Arabidopsis thaliana: one gene and its partner. The protein of the gene in region 2 interacts with the protein of the main gene of each other region in a pairwise test. Each region holds a gene or a part of one and is shown on either strand. Other genes may lie near its edges. The genes, in order: AT5G66940 and BPC5.

Region 1 (3,233 bases), on a different chromosome or scaffold from region 2:
TCTCGTAGGACACTGCTTGAGCAATCCCTTCAAGAAGTCTTGTTCCAAATCATAAAATTCGTGAATGAGAAGAAGGATCATGTTCCTCCCATTAACGATGGTGTAATCTACTACCCTTTTGAGATCACTATCCCAAGGTACATCAGTCTTCATTTATTCACATATCAAACTGTGTTCTAGAGATCTTAGTCTTTAGGTGTAGCGATCCCCACAGACATAGATGAGTGAAGAATGTTCTTTATATCTTTGTTGTACAAGTGTTGAAATGAGTTAAGTTTTGTTTCAGCTCATCGGACTCTGCCTTTGGGATGGATATGTTCAAGAGGATACTACACAGTGGCCATCCATCAATGCTCGGCTAAATTCCATTTTCCACTTAACTTAGTACATATACACTTTGATGTTTCTTGGTGCAGCCTAACTCCAATCAACACTTTCCTAGTTACATTTTCTGTGTAAATATATTATATGTTACCCTCTCCTCGTCGATGGATAATGTTACCTTATCTATGCTTTGTTGTATATAAGTGATGTGTTGTATATAAATTTCAGACTTGCATTTCCTAAACAACGTGGACTGTTCTGTTTTCCAAGATTTCTAAAGTTGGAATTGACATTAAATAGAGCCAAAAAAACAAACAAACAAACAAACGTTTCTCTGATTTGAAGTTTCGTTCACAAGTAACCTAACTAAATAAGAACCAGATCAACTAAAACTGAAAGTTAGGGTAGAGAAGCTAAAAGAAGAAGAAGATAGATTGAAACCCTCCGATGAAGTAGAAGCTGATCCGATAGTCTCTATCACGCTACGTAGTCTCCAGACACGAACCCGACTTTGCTCTCTTGACCTTCAAACTGCCACGTGGCGGGTATTTGAGCAATGTGGCTTGTAGTAGTTGCAGCATCAGTAGCGCCACTTGAAAACGGCCAGACCGTTATTCCTTGCCCATATCTGACGTCCTCATAATACGACCCGTGACCAAGCCCAAGACCAAAAGCATCTGGCCCATTAAACCCGCCACCAGGCCCATTTCTGCTCACGGCGGCGTTGTAGTTGATCAAAGAGCTGAAACCGCCATAGAACGACGAAGCACTTCCCTTCGCCGTCGTGATACCGCCGTTGGAAGACGACTGAGGGAAAAGAACAGGCGTAGCTTGTAAGGGAAAGTTCCGGCTTCCGACAACGGAGGTGGTAGCGGCAGAGGAATAAGTCCGGGAACGTTTTGAGCTTTTACGGGAAACACCACCGACGGGAATGTCACGGAGAGTACCTCCATGAGTCCAGTAACGGCGACAAGACTTGCAGAAATGACGAGGTTGTGAGAAGTTGTAGTTGTTGTAGTAACAGAACTTGGTGTTGGTTGATTCACAGCGAGGACAAGAAAGCTGCTCTTGTTGATCCGTCGGAATCGCAACAGATCCTCCTTGGCCGTGGGGAATCTTAGGAACCCGACGAGATTCACTGAATTCAGAAGGCATGTTGTTGAGAAGAGAGGTTATCTGAAAGTTGAGAGTTTTTGAAGCTTTGGAGAGTTAAAGGTTGGAACTTTGTGATAGAGTAAGAGTTTCCTTTTATGGAGGAGAGGGAGAGAGAGAGAGATGGGGAAGGAGAAGAAAGTGAAGCTTTTTGACAGAGTATGTTGGGTTTATTGTGAACATAGAGAGAGAATAGATATGCTCTGTTTCTTTACTTCATTATACGTAGCTGGTGGCTCTTCTTTCAAGATTTTCTGTTTTGAAATAAAACCACGATTCTCTAATCTCTCCATCCATAATCTGTCACACGTTTTGATGGCATAGACATTAGTGAATGTTGGAAGAAACCAAAATTGAAAATAACTTATGATAAATAAGTGAAAGAAAAATCATATGATTACATTTGCTGACTAACAATGCTTTTGAAATTTTAATTTTAATTATGGTGTTATACACGTCGAATTTCTGAGTTAAAAGTTAAAAAAGGTTTCTACATGCAATATTTGTTTTAAGAAATACATTAAATTTTATGTCAAAAGTACGTGTCTACGGGAAGTGAAGACTGAACTGTGAAGAGAGTAGGCTACATGTAGTAGAGACTATTGAGCTTATCGATGTAAAGCAGTTCCCAATAATACAGCCATTATATTGTTAAGTGTTTAGGAGGGCTCATTAGCCTAATTTGTTGTGTGCATCTTTTCCAAAAAAAGAAGGATTAAATGGTATATGGACCTAAGAGATTGATGGTGTGTGTAGATGTGCTACCAATCACTACAGGTCCTTAATAGAATACCAGTATAAATGCAGAATCAATGCGTTCAGGTCCTCAAAAAAACTACATTTAAAACATCAAGTAAAAGTACTCAACAGTTTTACGTTAAACCAACTTGATTATCAATTTTAAGTTTTGTTATGGTCTTATCTTATCTCTCAGCATGCATCAAGATTAAGACAATGTTTTCAATTTGTTTTATCATTACGGTGTAATAATAGATTATAAATCTTATGTTGTTTAGGAGCTATAAAAAGTAAAAATCTAGACAATACCATGAAGACAGAATAACAATAGTCGGGTGAATTCTGACTTAACATGATCTTGAGGAACAAGACAAATGGATCTTTAAGGTAGAGAGAGAGAGTGTGACAAATGTGATTTGTTCCACAGGAAAGAAGAGAGGGTAGTAATTGTAAAATTGGGGAGGCTAAAAACAGTCAAAAGAGACAGAAGAGATTCGTTTTGTGAAGAGACAGAAGCGAAGGTTGTCGGGTAAAGAATGGATACGGAGAAGCTAGGAGTTAAGAAGCATGCAAATCTTCACTCCCTTTCACACCAAAAAGCATCCAACATTTTGGAGAGAGACATGTGAGAAGTATGTGCCAAGACGTGTCTACACTGGTTCAGAGCCGTCCTTACTCTGTGTACCGACCGGTCTAATCTGGTCAAATTCTGACACACCTTCTCTCTTTATCCCATTCTTTTTGTCCTTTTCCTCTCTGAGTCTCAGTCCTTCTCTGTTTCCTTTTGAAAGGGTGTTTTCGTCATTTACCTTCTGGTCCGTATTTCTAATGGGCCTAATATGTATACCCCTTGGACCATGGGCCTTAACATAAGAGATTTGTGACTGTTGTATTTTAGATGTGAATCTGACACCCTGCTAAACAAACCCCAAGCCGAGTCTATGAAACGAAACCATATATGGGCGGATTTTGTTATGACCCAAATGAAATCAACTACAAACTTACGTGGAAAAAACAAC
Region 2 (4,366 bases):
CACTCACCTAGTCCGACATGATCGCACTTGGCTATGCAATGGGAATGAAACTGTGCGTTTTAGCTTTGCCGTTTTGTTCTCAAATATCTTCTCCATGCACTTTTTCTGATCGGCCGAATTAACCACAATCGCCAAACTCTCACAATTGTTATCTTTAGTTTCTTTATTCCCACTCTTCTCGGCAGAACCGTCGACACACTGTTCTTCTTCCACCATGAAGCTAGCAACTTGCATTGAACCGTGGCTTGACGAGAAAATCATGACAATACCGAGACCTAGCCAGATGAGAATAGGAAGAATGATCAGGGACAAGGCGTAGTAGATGATCCATTGGAATCCGCTATGGTTCTTGCCGTTTAATGTCCATTCAAAAGCAAAAGCAATTCCGGAGAAAAATGTGGCAAAACTGCCTATAAAAAAGATTCTAACGATTCTCGGGTTAGGAACGTCGAAAAATGTCTTGATGTGGTTAAGCCAACGCTTTGGTGGTTGCGGTGGTGGACTAGTGTTGGTGGTCTTTAGCTTTTGGTCCATGCTTTTTTTTCTTTTCTTTAAGTGGAACTTTGAGAGTAAGCTTGAGATGAAGAGACTACATAAGTCGTTGAAGCTTGACTCTAATATAAGGAGATTATTAAATTTTTTTCCTTTTTATTTGTTGAAGTTGTTCAAATTCTTGCGATTTAATGGGTGAGATTTCGAATTTTGAAATTACAATAATACAAAGTAGATGATAATGTAACTATTTACATAAAACAACAAAACCAAGTCAAAACAGTACTACTAGATATTTGCCTTTTAACGGAACTATCGACAGTAAAAACAATAACGAGCCTAACTTCATCTTTCATTCGACTTTTGATCCTAATTGTTAAATCTAAAGCGACAAAAAAAAAATCAAAAGGGATGACGAGAGAGCAATACTTGATATATAGTGGCTACTGGCTCATAAATCTTGGTTACTTGATAGTGATGTAGCGGTTGGTGCCGTGCCTAGCCCAATAGTTCTTGAGATCAACCGGAGAGGAAAGCTCATGCCCTTCACCAGCTAAACGACTAAGTAACCTGGAGAAGACACTTCCACTCATTTTCCTGCCGCCAACTCGGGAATGCCGCTTGTTTGGCATCTGCGGGAGCGGATACTCAGACAAAGTGGTTGTGCAGCAAGATGATTGCCAGCCGCCATTGCCCCACTTATAACACTGACGAGCAGTCCCGGTGCAAGTGCACATGGGCACTGGCATTGTCATCTCATCGAACGTGACTAGGACATCGTTACTGTCCCAATCCTTTCTGCTTTTCTTTCCGGGAGAAGCAACTGGACGGTTCAGATCCTCGCCCATTTTCTTTCCCTGCTTGCTCTCTTTCTTCCTTTTGGTCGGTCTCGTGTTGGCTGCTTCAGGTGGAATAGTTGATATAGGGGAAGGATTAGGTAAGTGGCTTTCTTCAGTTATAAACCTTTGGGAACCACCGCGCTTGGCACACGACAAAATGTAGTTAAGATTGTTTTCACGGTATCGAAGAGCATTTAACGCACTTTCTGTCTCCATGATAGCATTATCTCTTTCAGAGAGAGCTTTGTCCCGCTGCTCAAGTGCTTCATCACGAGAGGCTAATGCTTCCTTAGTTGCTGCAACCGCTTCGTTTCTTTCCTTGACAGCTGCGTCCCTCTCAGCAAGGATGGAGATGATCTTCTTATTCATCACCAATGCATTATGTTGCTCCTTTTTCGGCATCACATTCTACTGCACACACACACAGTTTGTACTTAGGTTTCATTCAAAGTAACGAAAACATGTTTTTTTGTTTTAGTGATCTGCTTCTTCAAGTGTTTTTGCTTACCACAGATTGTGTTCCTTTGTAGTAATCGGGCTTGTAGCGCCCATTTTCATACTGCCCACCACTCTCCATCCTCTTACTTTCAACTGCAATGGAGAAATTGATATCAAACATTGTGAAACTAGGCTGACGAGTAACTAAAAACAGAAATACTCCAAATCATAAGCAGTTCCATAACATACATTTAACCCAAATAAATCGAGAAATCGTATCATATCCCACAAGTCAGCGTAATACCATCCAAACCAAACGATGAAGAAAACAATGGAGCAAGTAAGATACGCGGGAACATATATAGAGTTCGAATTTCAAGTTAAAGCAACGACGAGAGAGCTCCCAGAAGAACCAAAATTCGAAGAAAATGAAAATTGTAGAGAGAAAAACTTGGCATGCTGAAATTAACAGATAGGTCAAGAACACGATTAACGATCGAAGACTTACGGATTTCAACGAGCCTTCAGGAGAAACAAGCAACGGAAATCGAGAAAGATCTGAGGATACTTGGAAATGGTGTCTGTGTAATGTGGCAAGAAGTGGAAGACGAGCCAGGTACTCTCGGTTCAATTTACTAATATACCCTTGTCTTAAAACTGCTAAACGAGAGCAAGCAAGAAGGTTATTATTGTCTATCCATCTTACTCGTAAAAATGCAAAGACGTTTCTGTTTCAATCTCTCCAAATATAAGCCAAACAGGATATGATTTTGGTTCTGGTGGATCATTCTAGTGGGCCGTATGATGGGCCTAAGAATAAGGCAACTAATCTGGGTCGAATACGGGTAGACCCGGGTTGAGATCCCGACGTGTGCGCTTCGCTGTTGTAGTAGTAGTATATCTCATCATCAATCAGGCTTTTGAGCCTCGGAAACTCAATCCTTGTATATTCAACGGAGAGAGATCTGCGAGAGAAAGAGAGATCAGATTCCGGTGTTCCAAGGAAGCACATATTTTAAGATCCAGAATCGCCTGAGAGATGTCTACCTTCAGTGGCGATGAGACCGCTCCTTTCTTCGGCTTCCTTGGCGCTGCCGCTGCGCTCGTCTTCTCATGTATATCCATCTATACTCTCTTATAATCTCCATCTTCTTCTTTTCTCTTTGGTTCTGAATTGTTCACTGATCTTGTGTGTGTTTGTTGTTCTCATGATCTCCCTCAAAGTTGCTTTTGTGCTTTAGATCGGCCCTGAGAAGTTCACCGATCTGTGTGTTGCTCATGATTTTTCTTAGAAATTTCTCTCTAGATTTGTTTAGGCTAAGCGATATCACTGAACTATTATATGTCTCTCCTTTTCGAAAATTCTAGTTTATTATCTTTAGTCAGTGGATCAAATTCTTATGGAACTGCTCTACGCTGGTTTTAAATCCTTTTTCTTTGTCTTTTCTCCATTGGTGATGTAGTCTAGGCTGATCTTCTAGAAACTAAGACTTTTTGGCTTAGATCTGTATGTGTTGAATTTCTTGGTGTCCCCGACAAAAAAAAAAGAATTTCTTGGTGTCCTGTTCTTTGTCCAACATATCGAAATTACCTAGGGAAATTTGCTGGAGTTGCCAGGTTTTGTGATTGCTGTGACTGGTACTAATTGCATAAGTACAGATTTACCGTTGTTACCATCAAAATTGCTGAGTTGCTTTCATCTATGTCAATTATGCTTTTTCTTCATATCGAAGGCATGTTGATTACTTGTGTAAACCATAGTTAGATTGTGACCTTAAAGAGTGTGTATCTTTGTGTTATTAACAAGGTATGGGAGCTGCGTACGGGACAGCAAAGAGTGGTGTGGGAGTGGCATCTATGGGTGTGATGAGGCCGGAGTTGGTGATGAAGTCTATTGTCCCAGTTGTTATGGCTGGTGTGTTGGGTATCTATGGTTTGATTATTGCTGTTATCATCAGTACCGGGATTAACCCCAAGGCTAAATCCTACTACCTCTTCGACGGATATGCTCATCTCTCTTCTGGTCTTGCTTGTGGGCTAGCTGGTCTTTCAGCTGGAATGGCCATAGGTATCGTTGGCGATGCTGGTGTCAGGTACGATCCTCTGTGTCCTTCTTTGCAGATTCACTCTTATAGCCTAATTTGCTAAAAGACTCAATTTTATACAAGTATATCTCCCTTATGAATCAGAATATCATGAGTTTAGTGTCACAATTCAACTTGATGAAAATTTGGTAGGGAATATGTGCAATTCACTGACTGTTGAATCTATAATGGAAGAAATATCAGTTCATTACATGCTTCTGTGAGATGTCTTGTGCCATGGCGTATTTCTCTAGGATGAAATATAATGGAAGAAATATCAATTCAATTGTGAGTGTCTATCCCCTGTTATATCATTTTGATACGCAAATTTGTGGTTTGATGACAGGGCCAATGCTCAACAGCCAAAGCTTTTCGTTGGTATGATTCTTATCCTCATTTTCGCTGAAGCTCTTGCTCTATACGGTCTCATCGTCGGGATCATTTTGTCCTCCCGAGCTGGTCAGTCCAGAGCCGAATGAGAAAAGAGTGCGGTTCTTGAAGTCCGCATGATTC

Evidence for each region.
Region 1: the proteins of BPC5 (region 2) and AT5G66940 interact in a two-hybrid assay, tested with the Arabidopsis thaliana proteins (one large-scale study listed by BioGRID).

What each region holds. Positions count from the first base shown.
Region 1 is NC_003076.8:26,727,188-26,730,420, forward strand, and holds AT5G66940 (Dof-type zinc finger DNA-binding family protein), read right to left. Parts: upstream 1,529-3,233; 5' UTR 1,480-1,528; coding exon 802-1,479; 3' UTR 632-801; downstream 1-631. Other genes in the region: AT5G66930 (meiotically up-regulated protein), read left to right, coding at 1-137, 287-362.
Region 2 is NC_003075.7:18,144,522-18,148,887, forward strand, and holds BPC5 (basic pentacysteine 5), read right to left. Parts: upstream 2,371-4,366; 5' UTR 2,278-2,370; intron 1,923-2,277; 5' UTR 1,909-1,922; coding exon 1,840-1,908; intron 1,743-1,839; exon of another isoform or gene 1,740-1,742; coding exon 957-1,739; 3' UTR 830-956; downstream 1-829. Other genes in the region: AT4G38905 (uncharacterized protein), read right to left, coding at 8-534; VHA-C3 (vacuolar-type H[+]-ATPase C3), read left to right, coding at 2,809-2,884, 3,577-3,862, 4,200-4,332. UniProt on the Arabidopsis thaliana protein: Transcriptional regulator that specifically binds to GA-rich elements (GAGA-repeats) present in regulatory sequences of genes involved in developmental processes.